2 linked regions of the Caenorhabditis elegans genome follow. The protein of the gene in region 1 interacts with the protein of each later gene in a pairwise test. Each region holds a gene or a part of one and is shown on either strand. Other genes may lie near its edges.

Region 1 (8,330 bases):
AAATCCAGAACCTGTCCGACAAAAAAAATTTTTCGAATAAAAAAAAATATTTCAGAGCCAAAAATTGTTACTCTTTTCAATAAAAACAAAAAAATAATTTAAAAATGTTATTTTTTCAACAAAAAAAAATTCCAAAATAATCGATAAAGCCCGTCCATCGTGTAGTTTTGACCAGCTTTTTACCCAAAATTCTCTTCATTTATAGCTCCAAAGAGCCCTCCAACTGCACAAATTCCTTCTTGCCGCGTAGTTTTGTGAGAAGAATCTGCAAAAAATCGATTTTTTGTGAATTTTATTAAAAAAAACCTAATTTTACCTCATTTTTATTGATTTTTCTCATTAAAACAGCGAATAAGCCCGCTTCCCGCCGCGTCAAGTTCAAAATCGTCAGGATTTTTGCGGAAAGAAACAGGAAATTCCATTGCTCTGTCATCATCGCAAATCCGTCGACAGCTCGCTCACAAACTTCCCGAAAAAGTTGAAAATTGACGGGTTCCACCGAATTTTTCACATATTTATCAACAATAATATTCACAATTTGACAAAATGGGGTCTTGCCACGATCTCCGAAGGCTTGAAGTTGCGGCGCCAGCTTTTCCAACAAAATCGAGCAAATTTCGACGATTCGTTCGTCGTTTTTGGCGATTTTCGTGTCGAAAATCTCCGAAATTTGTGTGATAATCGTGTCGGGATTGGGTTTCAAGAATGAAATGTCTGGCAAGTGGCGAAAATTGGATTTTATTCGGATTTTTTCGCAAATTTCCTCAATAATTTCCATTGGAGACGTGCATGTCGAGTTGGGAATCGTTTTTGAGAGAAATTGACGAAATAAGTCGTTGAATTGGGCTTCTGAAAAAAAAATTTTTTTTAAAAGATATTTTTCGCGTTTTTACACCGGAAAAACTGAAAAAATCGCGAAAAATCAATAAAAATTAGCTACAGTAATCTTAAAGCCGCACAACTAAATTCTCAAATCCTAGATTTTCGTTGCGATACCCGCGGGTCTATTTAAATCTATTTTTGCAATTTTTTTTAACGATTTTTTTATCGTTTTTTGCCTAAAATCGTCGTTTTTACCCACCATTTCCGTCGTAAAACGCAGAAAATCCCAAAATTAACGTAGAAAACAGCAAATTTGAAGAATTCGGTGGCAAAATCGAAAAATCGGCAATTTCCAACAAAATTTGCGGGAATTTAATGAAAATCGCGGTTTTTTCCTCGATTTTTCCAGATTTTTGCATCATTTTTTGTGAAATTTGTTGAATTCTCAGTGCTAATCCTTTTCGATCGATTCGTGTGGCCATGATTTTCAGCTGATTTTCAATGAAAATAATCGAATTTTCATCGAATTTCTCCAGCGAATTCCGCCAAAATCCGTCGGAATTCACCGGCGCCTGCAGATTTTTTGCCGTTTCCAACAAAAATTGAAAATCCTCGTCAGCTCTCTGCTGTAGGAACCAGTTCAATTCGTAATCCGAGAAATCTCGAAGATATTCAACGGCGAGCTCGAGCTCCGAGTTCATGAGAAGTTTGGTTTTTGTGCGATTTTCTTTGAAATAAGAGTGAATTTTTGGTTTTTCGGCGCCGAGGAGCTTCATAATATCGAAGAAAATGATGATAATCCGCTGAAAATTTGAAATTTTAGTCCAAAAATTAATAAAAAACTACCTTTCCAACCACAGAAGCACCTGGAAATTGCTTTTCCAGATACAAATCGAATTCGCCGAGTAGTATGGCCTCTGAAATGTCTATTTTTCGGTCAAAAAATGGAATTCCAAGGGGAAAATCACCATTTCTATAGATCAAACTGAGCACGTAAATGAGCAAAATCGATGCCTGTGGGGCGTCGATTGTCACCAATTCCAGGCGATTTTTGATTATTGGCCACGATTTTGCGAACGCATCGAATTCTGCAATTTTTCAGATTATTTTGGTGGGAAAATGGGGGGTTTTTTGGCCTTTTTCGGTTTAAAAAAAACCGTTTTTTTCTGTTTTTTCCCGGAAATTCAACCAAAAATGGTTTTTTTTTCAAAGAAAACCCTCCAACACGGCCATGTGTCGATTTACGCAGCTCGTGTACTCCGAGAGGAAAAGAATATCAGAGTTTTTGGCTAATTCTCTTACCCTAATCGCCGTATGTAATGAAAAATTCGATAAAAACGACGAAAAATCACATTTTTCTATGAATTCTGGGAGAAAATAGAGGAAAAATCGATAAAAATGACGACAAAAATAGATTTAAATGGACACACGGGTCTCGCAACGAAAATCTAGGATTTAAAATTTTAGGTGTGCGCCTTTAAGGTTACTGTAGCTAATTTTTATTGATTTTTTGCGATTTTTCCATTTTTTTTCCGGTTTAAACGTGCGAAAAATGTCGGAATTAATCAGATTTTGCAAAAAAATAACGTAAAAATCGGCGATTTTCGTTAATTTTTCGTTGAATTTCCCCTATTTTGCCACCGAATTCTTCAAATTTGCTGTTTTCTACGTTAATTTTAGGATTTTCTGCGTTTTACGACGGAAGTGGTGGGTAAAAACGACGATTTTGGGCGAAAATCGATAAAAAAATGGCAAAAAAAGATTTAAATGGACCTACGGGTCTCGCAACGAAAATCTAGGATTTAAGGTTTTAAGTGTGCGCCTTTAAGGTTACTGTAGCTAATTTCTATTGACTTTTCGCGTTTTTTCCATTTTTTTCCGGTTTAAACGTGCGAAAAATGTCGGAATTATCAGCTTTCACAAAAAATCTGGAAAAATCGGCGAAAAAAAGTAAAATATAACATTTTTCAATGAATTCTGGAAGAAAATTGAGGAAAAATCGATGAAAAATGACAAAAATAGATTTAAAGCGACATACGGGTCTCAAAACGAAAAGCTGATATTCAAGAATTTTTTCTATGCGCCTTTAAGGTTACCGTAGTACTTTTTTTTATTGATTTTTTGAATTTTTTAAAGAAAAATGTCAAATAATTCCTGTTTTTGAATAATTTTTCCTAATTCTTGGGTCCTGAATATATAAATTTGACTTTTTTTTTCTGAAAATTTTGAAAAAAATCAATAAAAATGTACTACAGTAACCTTGAAGGCGCATATCGAAAAAAAGGTGGGACTTCTCCTCGAGGAGTACACGCAAGTCCCGTAAATCGACAAATGGGCAATTTTAACAATTTAACAATTTTTAGGCCAGAAAATCATCAAAAATATCGATTTTCAGTGAAAAAAAACGGAGATTTTAGTCAAATTTACCTAGAAAAATGCGATTTAAAAGCTGCAACGGGGCGAAAAGCACGCTCGCCTCCAGAGCATACAAATACTTCTCGTTCACAATAATTTCCACGTATTTCTGCACAGAATTCCGATTTAAATCAAGCTTAGCGAGCGGATTAGCCATCAAATTGTCGAAAATTCGAGGCAGAAGCTTGCTTTTCAACACGGTTTCCAAAATTGAGAATTTCTGCAAAAAAAATTCTGATATTTGGGGCTCCGCGGAGCTCGGCTTCCAGAAAACCTTCTTTTGCTCTTTTTCGTTCACCGGTTCCAGTAGAGAAATGAGCTTTGAGCACGCTCGGGGAATATCTTCAAGCCTCGTTTCACACAATAATCCGAGAAGTTGAATGAGCCGGGATGGCGGCTTTTCGTCGGTTTTGTCTGAAAAAGTATTAAATTTTCTATTAAAAATCGGAATTTTGGCCTAAAAACAAGCTTTTTTTTCTGAAAAGTGCGATTTTTTAAAAGGATTTTTCGAATTTTTTCAGCAAAAATCGCAATTTTTCAGGCGGAATCGATTTTTTTTCGATTAAAATTGAGCTTAAACCATAATTTTTCGGGAATTTCTAATTTCTGAAAGCCAAAATTGCAATTTTCAGGACAAATAAATTGAGTTTTTAAGACAAAATCCCGATTTTTAAAGAATTTTTCGAATTTTTCATCCAAAATCGCAATTTTTCAGGCGGAATCGATTTTTTTCGCTTAAAATTGAGCGTTTGGCTTTCAGAAATTAGAAATTCCAGAAAAATTACGGTTTAAGCTCAATTTTAAGCAAAAAAAAAAATCGCTTACGCCTGGAAAAATGCGATTTTTGCTGAAAAAAAAAAAGGAAAATCATTTTAAAAATCGGTATTTTGGCCTAAAAACTCAATAATTGTTGTCTGAAAATTGCGATTTTGGCACTCAGAAATTGGAAATTCCATAAAAAACCATAGTTGAAGCTCAATTTTAAGCTCAAAAGTTGATTCTGGCCGGAAAAATGCGATTTTTTCTGAAAAAAATCGAAAAATCCTTGTAAAATTCGGTATTTTGGCCTAAAAACTCGAAATCTGTTCTGAAAAATGCGATTTTAGCTTATAGAAATTGGAAATTCCAGAAAAACTATGGTTTAAGCTCAATTTTAAGCGCAAAAAAATCGATTAGGCCGGGAAAATTGCAATTTTGGCTAAAAAAAAAGTATCAAATTTTCCTCTAAAAATCAGGATTTTGGCCTAAAAACTCAATTTTTTTCGAAAATTGGGATTTTTTCAAGAGGATTTTTCGAACTTATTCAGCAAAAATCGCATTTTTCCAGGGGGAATCGATTTTTTTCGATTAAAATTGAGCTTAAACCATAATTTTTCGGGAATTTCTAATTTCTGAAAGCCAAAATTGCAATTTTCAGAACAAATAAATTGAGTTTTTAAGACAAAATCTCGATTTTTAAAGGATTTTTCGAATTTTTTCATCCAAAATGGCAATTTTTCAGACGGAATCGATTTTTGTGCTTAAAATTGCGATTTTGGCTCTCAGAAATTAGAAATTCCATAAAAAACCATATAATTTTAAGCGAAAAAACTGATTTTGCCTGGAAATTTGCGATTTTTTCTGAAAAAAATCAAAAAATCTTTTTAAAAATCGGGATTTTGGCCTAAAAACTTGAAATTTGTTCTGAAAAATCCTGAACTTTTGCTGAAAAAAAAATCGAAAATCCTTCTAAAAATCGGGATTTTGGCCTAAAAAGTCAAAATTTATCCTGAAAATTGCGATTTTGGCTCTCAAAAATTAGAAATTCCATTAAAAACCGTGGTTTAAGCTCAATTTTAAGCTCAAAAATTGATTTTGCCTGGAAAAATGCGATTTTTGCTGAAAAAAATCGAAAAATCCTTTTGGAAATCGGGATTTTGGCCTAAAAACTCAAAATTTTTTCTGAAAATTGCGATTTTGGCTCTCAAAAATTGGAAATTCCATTAAAAAAACCATGAAAGTTGATTCTGCCTGGAAAATTGCGATTTTGGCTGAAAAATTATTGAATTTTCCGTTAAAAATCGGTATTTTGGCCTAAAAACTCAGTAATTGTTGTCTGAAAATTGCGATTTTGGCACTCAGAAATTGGAAATTTCGAAGAAATTATGGCTTAAGCTCAATTTTTAGCTTTAAAAAAAAAACCATTTTTCTTCATTTGTTCTTCAAATTGAAATTTTTAGTGCAAAAAATCAGTTTTCAGCAAAATTTTAAAAGCGAAAATTAATTTTTCCTTGGAAATTTGAATTTTTCTCCAGAATTTCAGATTTTCAAAAAAAAATCAATAATTTACCAATAACCGAGCAATTCTGAAGCTCTCCGAGTAATTCTATATAATATTCAAAATATTCTATCGCTGAAATCACCGTCATCGCGTTGAAAAGCCCTGAAATTAAAAAAAAACAATGAGAAAATTCAGAAAAATCGAAACTTTTTCGGGCTTACGTTCGATAATTGTGGGCGAATCCGACAATTTTGATTTTATCAGGCAGTTTAACGCCTCGTGAAGCCTCGTACCATCCTTGTAGAGCTCGATAAAGTATTTTTGCACACAACCGCACGAAAAACACTGGAAAAAATGGAATTTTCGGCGGGTTTTCAGTTTTCCGGGCGGAAAATCACCAACCTCTAGCTTGGATTTTCGATTTCTGCAGAGAAAATACAATTTTAGAATTGCATATGCTTTTTTTGAAGTTTCAGAATCAAGGAATAACTTGTCGCCGGCGTCCAAAAAATCCAGCACAACGTGAGGATCCAGCTGAAAAATTCGAAAAATCATTAAAATCCAATTTTTTTTCTGGTTTAAAAACCTTTTTTCTCGTTTCATCTCGTAAAATTTGCTTCAATAATGATGTGAAAATTCGATTTATCACTTCATCCTGCCCAATCGCGGTTTTTTTCATGAATTTTAGGATTAAAAGTGGCTCCTGGTAGTTTTCAGCGGCGATTTCACGGGAAAGCGCTGTCAAAAGCAGATGGAAGTCTGTTTCGTTCGATAGCTGCAAGAATTTTTCAATTTTTTGGCAAAATTTGGCGGATTTTTACTCTTTCCGGCGATTTCCAAATCGATGTGAAGAGAGATTCGTCGAAAACTGCATATTCCAGCTCTTCGGCAGCAAATCCCTCGGTAATATCGTTGATAACTAAAATAAAATCTTTTAATTTTCACAAATTTTCTTCAAAAAAAAAAACCTGGAATACACCGTCGCCGTCGCATTATTTGCTAAAAACCCGAATTTTTTTTCGCCTAAAAAAAAAAAATCAATTCAAACGCGCGGGCCTCGGTGGCCGTGGCCTAGAAACCCGCGCGAGGGAGATTTGAAATTTGAACACTCAAAACTTGGCACTCTGCCAATTATTTGAATCTGGCCCAATATGCGGCACTTTGCCTCTTTGTCCTTGATTTCTTCGTGTGTAATATGCTAATTTGTTGCCTTTTCACGTGATATTCTTGGGTTTTTGCCGAAAAATCGCAAAATTACAGCTCAAAATTTAAATAAATGTATTTTTCGGAATGTTTCAGAATCTCGGCAATATTCCATATAATTTTAAGAAATATATGTAATGATTGAGCCAATTTACGGTGCTTGTGCTGTTTAATAGTTTTGTTTTCGAAAATTTTCCAATTTTCTGCTCAAAAATTAAAGACGCAGGCAATTTCCTCCGGCACGGGTCTCGCCACGAAAAGCCGATCGAGAATTTAACGAGTTTTTATCGAATTTTCGCAGTTTTTTGTGAAGATTTTCGAGATTTCAGCAAGTTTTCAAGTAAAAATCCCACCTTTTCTAGAGAATATGCGTTTTTTTTTGCTTTTTCACGTGATATGCTCGGTTTTTTGCCTGAAAAAAAAAGGAAAATTTCGGCTCAGAAATGGAATAAATGCAATTTTTCATGAATGTTTCAGAATCTCGGCACTAATCCATTTTTTTTTTGAAATATATTGAACCAATTTAGTTTTGTTTACCAGTTACCTGCTCAAAAATGTTTAAAATTAACGAAAAATTAAAGGCGCAGGCATTTTCCTCCGGCACGGGTCTCGCCACGAAAAACTGGAGATCGAGAATTTAACGAGTTTTTATCGAATTTTCGCTGTTTTTGGTGAAGATTTTCGAGATTTAAGCAGGATTTTGACTGAAAAAGCTCACTTTTTTCTGGAGAATATGCTAATTTGTTGCCTCTTTCACGTGAAATGCTTGTTTTTTTGCGTAAAAAATTCGACTTAAATACCGTTTAAATTAATTTCGTTATTTCAGAATGTCCCGAAGGCACAGCGTCGTTGACGCGTACTCAACTGTAGAAGGAAAGATTCGCGACACGATGCGAGAACTCTCAGCGTTATGGGATGAGGTGGACATGTCGGAAGCAATGAGGCTCAAGCGTGTCGACAACGCGTTCACGCACATAACGCTTCTCTGTGATGATATGGTAAAAGCCTAAAATACCCAGAATTCACTTAAAATCTCCTTTTAAATTCCAGCTATCCGGCGAGAAGGAGATGATCCACAATCTGAAGGTCAGCATTCGCGAGGACATGCAAAATGTCAAAAAGATGCGGCTCGAGCTGGAAATGGAGGATTTTCAGCGGCCCGCCGAGATAAAGGACGGCTCGATCGCCTTGATGAGACATTTGCAGTCGGAAGTGAAAAGTTTGGAGACAGAATTCCAGACGAGACACGAGGATCAGCGTGTGCTCATCGAGAAGATCTGCAATTTGAAGAAGCGGTTGGAGTCGGATTTCGAATTCGAATATGAGATTCATGCGGTAACCAGAAGCCGCATTTTTATTTAAGTATATAAAAATAAATTAAAATTTCAGCTCTTCCCAGTAAAGGCGTTCGAGAAGTACTCGGCAAGCTGCAGTGAGATGGAGGAGCTCCTCAAACACCGCTACCACCAAATCGAGCGTCTCCAGACCGACATCTCGCAGTGGAAGAGTATGGCGCAGAATGTGGCCGACTATATCGGCGGGGATGATGATTTGAAGAATTTGCTGGAGAAGAACATCGATTCCCCGGAATTTGTGTTCTCTGAGCGGCTTTTGGACTCGTTGCAGTCTT
Region 2 (8,330 bases), on another chromosome or scaffold:
GTTCAAAAATTGTCTGAAAGTTGAAAATTGCCGGTGAAAATTGCCGAAAAATTGACAGCAATTTTCAATTTTCGGACAATTTTTGAATACTTTCCCGGTATTCAAAAATTAAATAAAAGTTATTTTCAAATAAAGCAAATATTTTTCTATATTGTATCATTAAATTTGGATGAAAGTATCGGGGGAACATGCCCAATCGTCTCATTTTGTATAATTGACGGTCGGCCATTGCCGCGCACCCCTATGTACAAGAATACCTAAACGAGACCTCGGTGATAACCTGCTAGATATGTACTTTTCAGGATGAAAGGTTGAAAATTGAGCATTGAATTCAGGTGGTCTGAAATTCAAATTAATTTCATAGGTGTCTTTGGATTGAACTGGAAACACTTACTTCACAGTAATATTTACTTGAAGCGAAAAATAATATATGACTGGAAAACTATTCAATTTCAAGGACCAACTGAACCTATAACCCACCGAAAACTATCAGTATAAGCCAAGGATATGGGCTTCTGAGAATTCCGACAATTGCCTTCATCAAGAAAAATGTTTGCTGAGATTTCTCGTGTTTTTGGAGTGGATAAATAATTCCTGAAAGGTGAGAGCCCATTGTTTTGTCCCCTTAGAAACAGATAAAGCTTTTTTAAGCGGCTTTTAAAAAGGGGTAGGGGGTTGGGAACAAGGGAGAGACCAAAAATTCGAAAAACCGAAACAATTCTCTACTTGGAAATAAATGGAATATACCCCCAGTTAATTTAACTTAAAGTTATTTTGATGGAACATTTTTTTAATTTTAAAGTTTATTTTTTGTTGGAAAAATCTGATTTTTTTAAATCGCGATGGTTGGAAAAATATTTTGATGGTTACACTAACACAACTCCAGAATCATTCAAAATCTGCTAAAACAATTTTCACGGGCCCTGAAAAGGCGCAAAAATGGACTGACTGAGAAAAAAGTACATACAAGAGCCTTTGCAGATGACCTGAACATTTTTAAGTGAAAAATAGTAGAAATATCAAGAAAAATGTTGTAATTATAAAAAACTAGTGTGAAGTGTGGCAACTCGAACTGGCCGAAAACTAAGCAAAAGTATTGCATATAGGAAAATTTAACAATCGAACCCACAATACCGGTGCCTTGTTGCCAGTACCTTGTATTAGGCCACAAAACTAGCAGCTGCTCAAAAACCCAAAATCTGTGAATTTGGTTAGACCATCAACTATCATTACCTATATATAAAAAAATAGTGTCCGTTTGTTAAGTAGTTTGTAGTCTGTGACGTCATAGCTTACAAAGGCAAGGCGTTTTCGGCTGTTGGAGGGATATTAGTTTGGGGTTAATAGGGGGATATGGGCGCGGTACTGTAGTAGTACTGTAGGAGTACGGTAGGATTACTGTAGTTTAGGAAAAACTGTGTTTTTGTCTTTTGAGGGAATATAAGTTTGCGGTTAGTAGTGGGATATGGTCGGGGTACTGTAGTAGTACTGTAGGGGTACTTTAGGAGTACTGTAGGATTTGTGTAGTTTGAGAAAAATTGACTTTTCGTATTTTGGAGGAATATTGGAAACATCGAAAAAGTTTTGGAATTTTCTAGAACCTTCTGGAAAATTCGAGAAAATTCTGGAATGTTTCAGAACCTTCTGGAAAATTCGAGAAAGTTCTGGAATTTTCTAGAACCTTCTGGAAAATTCGAGAAAATTCTGGAATGGTCGTGGTGAGACCTATCGTGGTGAGACCCATCTTGGTGAGACCCTTAAAAATTTGGTCTTCATAAACTTAAAAAACAACGGGTGAATAAATGAGTTTATTATTAAAATTAGGAGGAGTTCATAAGGTATCGCTTTCATAACCACTGTCACTGTCCTTTTCCGCGCTCCCAACGCAAATCATTTTTCTGAAATGATTCGATTAAACCTTCACCATTCCTCTAAACTAACCTCGTTTTGATTCTAAAGGGCCTCAAAGGTTTTACTGGTATGACTCTTGGCATGCTCGATTTGACTGGAAGAAAGATGTCTCCTCTGTGGACTTTGTTCATCAGACTTGTAAGCATCAGGCATGTAATTTCGAACTGCTGTAAAAAGTTAAAGTATAACCTAGAAATGAGAAAAGTTGGAACTTACACCGGTGACATCTGCAGTTTTGAAAACTTCATGGAACACGAGCTTAGTTACCGAAACGATGAAATCCGTAATATCTTCAAACGATGCAACACAGAGAACACTTCCAGCTTGTCCTTTAAAATGCATATGAGTGTCGAGAAGAATTATTGAATTTGTCGGGCGATCGTAGATAAAACACATGGCCCTTTCGAAAGCAAGCACTCCAATTGCCAATCTATCGAGTTTCGAGAGATACGGACTGTTTACAGCCATCGACATAGCTGTCACGAGATTGCTAATAAAGTCTCCAGAATAGCATGGGTAGTCAATCTCATGCATCTCGGGCCGCTGAACTTGAATAGCTTCTGGCACAGTGAACGTGTCTCGATGTGGTTTCTTCAAAAATTGGAAGACTGAACCACTTTCCCCTGTCTCTTCAAGATGCTTCTTTTTTAGACTTCCACTGAATCCTCGTCGTCGAGCTGCCATAGCCTTTTCGTGTGTCTCATTGCCATCAACAATTCCGTTAATAAGAACATCGAGGACGCCAAGTGGAAGATGTTGAGGTGTCAAAGGATGCGTGGGTGGGATACAGACGTTCTTGCTAAAAGATGGATTTACTTTTCGATCGCACTAAAATTTCACAAACCTCAAGAAATCGTGAGCAATCTGGACAGTGATTATTGTGCAAGCAGATGAGGGAGTCTTCCGGCCACCATATTTCGATTGAGAATAGCTCAGTGGGAGTGCCCACACGTGGACACGGTTCTGAAAATTATATTTGTTTATGTTACGGTAGTGGGTCTTTTTAGGTATCGTATCCGCAAATGTTCCTCAATTTTTCACTAAAAACACATTTTAGCGCTATGAATTTGGTGAAAGTCTAGAAATAGACGATTACGAAAACTTGTGGTGTACGGTAGCTGAAAGGTTTCAATCGTGCCGAGACCAGGTACAGTATTTCCGCGCACATATTTCTCCATTTCCCCGTACTTTTGGTTTTTTTTTTCAAAAACCCGGAGTTTTAGCGCTATTAATTGCGAAAAGTTGAGCGAAATTGCAAAAGTACAGTGTATTTGTTTCCACTTCTACGACTTCAAAAGAGGGCGCATTCATTCAAAATGGTCTCGTCACGCGCCATTCATTGATTTTTGAAGCGCGTGGCGAGACCAATGGGTGGAGCGTGGCGGGACCATTTTGAATAAATGCGCCCTCCTTTAAAGTCGTAGAAGTGGAAAAAATAAACTGTAGAGGTAATTTTGAAACACATGCGGGTACTGTAGGCACAAAGTTCCGATTATAAAAATCGGGATTCATACCTCAAACACTGCCGATCGGAAATTCGAATTAGCCATCTTATACCAATTTTCTGCAGATTCCTCATTTTGTGTGGTGTAAGTAATTTCGTGTCGAGATCTGTAGCGGTTAACTGAGAACTCGTAATTCTAATACCTTATATTACCTCCGAGTTGTACTCAATCCTGGTCTCGAGACGCACATTGGGGGTTAGTCGGTTAGTTGAGAAGCCGCGAATGCTAGTAATTTGAATAAAAATAATGAATTTAAAATCGCCTCTCACAGTTCTGAATTCTTATCTTTTTCCAAATCTACACTTTTTTTAATAGAAAAATACAGTTTACGTAAAACTACATTCCATGTTGATTTTTCAAGCATTCATTTTAAATAAATTATATGTATTTTAAAAAAAAACACGTTAGAAATAGGCTACCGATAATACAAGAATTAAATTATAAACACTATGCACTCTCACAATCAGTTTATGCCCCTTTTGCACATTACTTCAACTTAAAAAAAAATAATTGCACACTTCCTCCAGGACACAGCATTTCAACTTGGAACAAGATTTCCCATTCGCGACAAATTTGTCCAATTTGCCATTTGTTAAGCTCGGAATACTCTAAAATTTGCCTTGAGTTTAGAAGAAAGAAATGAATGAAATAACACAAAATTTTGTGAGTATCTTTAAAAAAAATTTTTTTTCCAGAATGCTACACTTTTAAAGCTTTTTCGTCAATTTTGTGATCCAAAAAATAGTTTTAAAATATCGAGATTTTCCGGGTTCGCCGACCAGGGCAAATTTGTCAAATTTGCCGGTTTTGCCGGACTCTGCAAATTTTGAGATTTGCCGCACCCCCCCCCCCTCTTTCCCATGTTTCCTTTTTTTGCTCGTCCACTGGCACACAAGGCATAGGTACATGCATCTCTGACTTACCACTAATTTACGACTATCCATAAAAGTCCCAAGTCATATTTACTTTCGTTCTCCTTCCCTTTAAGAACTTTGCCGTCCAGGTTCATAGTCATTATATCATAAACTACTAATGATGGGTGGTGAGCCACACACAGTTCCCCATCACCACCGCCGCCGGTCTATCTTATCACTCTGACCTTTTTTGTCTCTTTCTCTAGGATCTCTCCGGGCTCTTTGTTACTTTCCTGCCTGTAACAAAGACAGACATTTGTGGTTAGAGTTGTCTGCTCTAGTCGACTGGAAAAAATGCTCCCTGAAACTACTACTCTTCAACCACTTCCATCTGTTACGACTATCATGAATGAGCCGCCAGCGAGAAGTCCAATGGAGGACTATTATTTATTTAATCAATTTCAATATAATCAAAAGTAAGTTTTGAAATCAAAACTGTTTTATTGCAGTGCATAAAAATGTTGCATAATGTAATTGTATTATTTTTACGGCAAACTTAAATTGAAATATTCACTATCAACAGAATTATATGGTTTTTACATTACTACCAAAATATTACTTTCCTGTAGTAATGTATACAAAAACAACAACTTTGTTCCAACATGTGACCAAAACTATGTTTTATTGAACTCATGTAGCATAACTGATAAAAATCAATATCGAATGCTCCAAAGTATACTGCTTATAATCAGTAGTTTTCAGTGTTTTTGAGAATAGGAATCTTTGAGAATTATTATATTTTTTAAGGTTTATTATTATAATTTGAGAGTCTGAAAAACGAGTTTCATGCTGGGAATGGCTTAAAGTGTATGACTTAACATGTTTCCTGTTTGGCAATTGTAGGTAATTTCCAACTTTCTCTCAAAGTTTAACAATTTCCTACAAAGCAGTTAAAAAATTCTGTCTACCTTTCGTAACTTTCTTTCAAATGTTAACACTTTTTGCAAAATTTTTGCAACTTTCTGTCAATCTTTGGACATTTTCTGACAACTTTTTGCAACTTTCTGCCAACTTTTGATAGCTTTCTTTTAAAGTTTAACAACTTTTTGCCAACTTTTGGCATCGTCCTGCCAAGCTCTGGCAACTTTTTGACAACATTTGGCAACTTTTTTCCAACTTTTGGCAACTTCTTGCAAAACTTTTGGCAACTTTCTGACAAATTTTAACAACTTTCCGCTTAACTTTTCCTGCCAAATTTTACCAACTGCTTACAAATCTTTTGCCTAGTCTCCTGCACCACAAATGTACTACAAACTCAGCTCAGCTTGAGAGAATAAAAACTCCAACTTTTCAGTCCATATGTCTACCCACCGCAGCCCGTGTACTACAATACTTGGCAAGATGCTTCAACTCATCACTTTGATCCATTCCAGAGTTATCAAATTCCATCTCCATACGAACAACCAATTCAGTCGTCAATGTGTACTACTCCATTACAACCACTTGAAGATTCCAGAATTATTTTTGATGAAAGCTTGACGAAAAATGAAAATGAGCAAAAATCCTTTGTGGAGCAAGATAGCAGTTACGAATCATCTGGAAACCGATTTGGTTCACAGAAGGGAAAGAAAATTGCAAAAGTAGGATTCGAGGGTTTAGAATGAAATAAATATTTCTATATGAAATTTTTCAGGTAATTCGTGATGCGTGCTGCTCACACTGCTCAACAACTACAACCACACTTTGGCGTAAAAATGATGAAGGGAATCTTGAGTGCAAGTAAGTTTATATTTTATTATATTCTTTTATATTATTTCTACCAGGTGTGCGCGGCAACCGATTGTTTTTCTGGCAAGTCGGCAAATCGGCAAACCGGCAATTTGTCGATTTTCCGAATTTGCCGAAAATTTTCGGCAATTTGTGGTTTTGCACATTTTTTTTGGAAATTTCCGAATTTCAATTTTAATCGGCAAAATTGTACGCATCCTATGAATGTTCCTACATCTATTCTGAAAAGTAAGCAAGTTCTGTGAAAATATCTAAAGAAAACGGAGAAAACATTTCAAAAATGCACAGTTTTAAATGTTTCCGTCTTATAAAAAATCCCTCTAAAAACAAAAATCATCAATTCAATTTCCGAAAAATCGGCAAATTGTCGGAAATGAAAATTTCCGGCAAAATGGCAAACCGGCAATTTATCGATTTGCCAAATTTGTTGACAAAAAAATTTGCCGAATGGCACTTGCCGCCTACCCCTGAATTTTTTCGAACATTTAGAACATTTACATTCCAAATCAAAAATTCTCAGTTGAACTTGCTTATAATTTTCGATTATTTTTTAGAATTTCGAATTTAAAATTTTATTAATTTTAATGACTAGTTAAATATACATCATTAGTTCCACTATTAAAGTAATATTTTCAGTGCTTGCAACTTGTATTACCGTCACAACAAAGTGAAACGCCCGTTATCCCTCTGCAAGCAGAAGCCAACTACTCGAAAGCGGCGTCAAGCAAAAAAAGAATAGACAAGTTTGGACTGTATCGCCATTTTTCCAGCATATTACGTATCCCTCTACATCAATTGTACCGTGTTCTATGCGCTGATTTGTATTCGTTTTTTAAAAAAGATTATATATCTATGTCATCTTTTCCACTGATATTACCATATTCAAACATTTGTAATGTCAACTTCATTATTATTTTTCTTAAATAAAACGTTAGAGATACTACTTATACAAATATTGTTACAAATAATAATGTTGAAAGATTCTATGATAAGATGAGAAATTGGTGATATGTGGGATATTAATACAAAAGTGGGCTTTAATGTAGAAATTGAAACGATGAGACCAGGGACAGATGAAACCATCAATTTCTATATTCTGCCAAGCAGCCTCTAATAAATGCCGAGTGTGCAGACTCCGCCCCTCTTTCGCGTTTTTTTGGCTCGCGAAAGAAGGTAACACTACGTTTGGCTTTACAGCGTCACGAAGTTGTCCCAAAGTTGTCACAAAGTTGTCACAAAGTTGTCACGAAGTTGTCACGAAGTTGTCACGAAGTTGTCACGAAGTTGTCACGAAGTTGCCACGAAGTTGTCACGAAGTTGTCACGAAGTTGTCACGAAGTTGGCACGATGTTGTCACGAAGTTGTCACGAAGTTGTCACGAAGTTGTCTCGAAGTTGTCACGAAGTTGTCACGAAGTTGCCACGAAGTTGTCACGAAGTTGTCACGTAATTGTCACGAAGTTGTCACGTAATTGTCACGAAGTTGTCGAACACCAAAGTGCAACTGCGGCGAGCTATGGAAAAGCAAACTCAGTTACAAAGACTTCCTGGAGAACCTAATATCTAAAAATGTCCAAGTTGAGGTCAGAGAGTACAACAATAGAAGGCTAAAAAAGAGTCCCATAGGGAGGAGATGATGATTGAAGTCTCACTGAATGACGAAATTGTGGAAAAGGACTAGTGACTTGTGACCGCAGCAGATTCACCAAGCTGTGTGAGGAGAAATATGTTTTATTGCTCAGGTTTTGTGTGGAATTGTACCAATAAGATTCGAAATACGTGGGTTAAGAAAAATATTTTGTTGTTAGAGAACAATAATTTAATTTGAAAGGCTGCAGAAATTACAAAGAACACTCAAAATGAAAGGAAATTATTTAAATATGGCTTTTTGTGTTTTGGAAAAAAAAAATCCAAATGCATATTGCAAAAAATTTATTTAAGTTCTAAAGATAGAGTATCCCGAGTGATAAGTTATTTTTAAAAAACCAAAAGGTTTTCGATTTCTCAAAATTTTCATTCAAAGTTTGACCAAATATGCCAAAATTTCCTAAAATGGGAATTTTTTTCGAGAAATGTCTAGTATTTTTCGCGCAGTGTCGTTCTGTCCCTATGTATTTTGAACTTTGATCTCTGATCTTTGAACTCTCTTTATTGTAGTTGGGCAGGTTTTGGGTTGGGAGCAGGGCTGAGCAGCCGCCCAAAAAAATCGGCGATCGGCGATCGCCGATCGCCGATGGAAATTTTTTTTATCGGCAATCGGCGATCGCGGATCG

The links.
Region 2: the proteins of Y34D9A.3 (region 1) and elt-7 interact in a two-hybrid assay, tested with the Caenorhabditis elegans proteins (one large-scale study listed by BioGRID).

The regions. Positions count from the first base shown.
Region 1 is NC_003279.8:1,032,633-1,040,962, reverse strand, and holds Y34D9A.3 (THO complex subunit 2), read right to left. Parts: upstream 6,521-8,330; 5' UTR 6,491-6,520; coding exon 6,466-6,490; intron 6,419-6,465; exon of another isoform or gene 6,417-6,418; coding exon 6,319-6,416; intron 6,273-6,318; coding exon 6,084-6,272; intron 6,032-6,083; coding exon 5,900-6,031; intron 5,843-5,899; coding exon 5,719-5,842; intron 5,660-5,718; coding exon 5,567-5,659; intron 3,652-5,566; coding exon 3,512-3,651; intron 3,458-3,511; coding exon 3,250-3,457; intron 1,911-3,249; coding exon 1,791-1,910; intron 1,749-1,790; coding exon 1,669-1,748; intron 1,626-1,668; coding exon 1,082-1,625; intron 850-1,081; coding exon 317-849; intron 266-316; coding exon 200-265; 3' UTR 101-199; downstream 1-100. Other genes in the region: spd-1 (Protein regulator of cytokinesis 1), read left to right, coding at 7,528-7,698, 7,751-8,035, 8,090-8,330.
Region 2 is NC_003283.11:4,766,090-4,774,419, forward strand, and holds elt-7 (Transcription factor elt-7), read left to right. Parts: upstream 1-4,580; 5' UTR 4,581-4,624; coding exon 4,625-4,746; intron 4,747-5,624; coding exon 5,625-5,910; intron 5,911-5,963; coding exon 5,964-6,049; intron 6,050-6,694; coding exon 6,695-6,797; 3' UTR 6,798-6,997; downstream 6,998-8,330. Other genes in the region: C18G1.8 (L-Fucosyltransferase), read right to left, coding at 269-326; C18G1.9 (FERM domain-containing protein), read right to left, coding at 1,832-1,898, 1,942-2,078, 2,128-2,710, 2,756-2,874, 3,426-3,522, 3,569-3,606. UniProt on the Caenorhabditis elegans protein: Transcriptional activator that binds to the consensus sequence 5'-[AT]GATA[AG]-3'.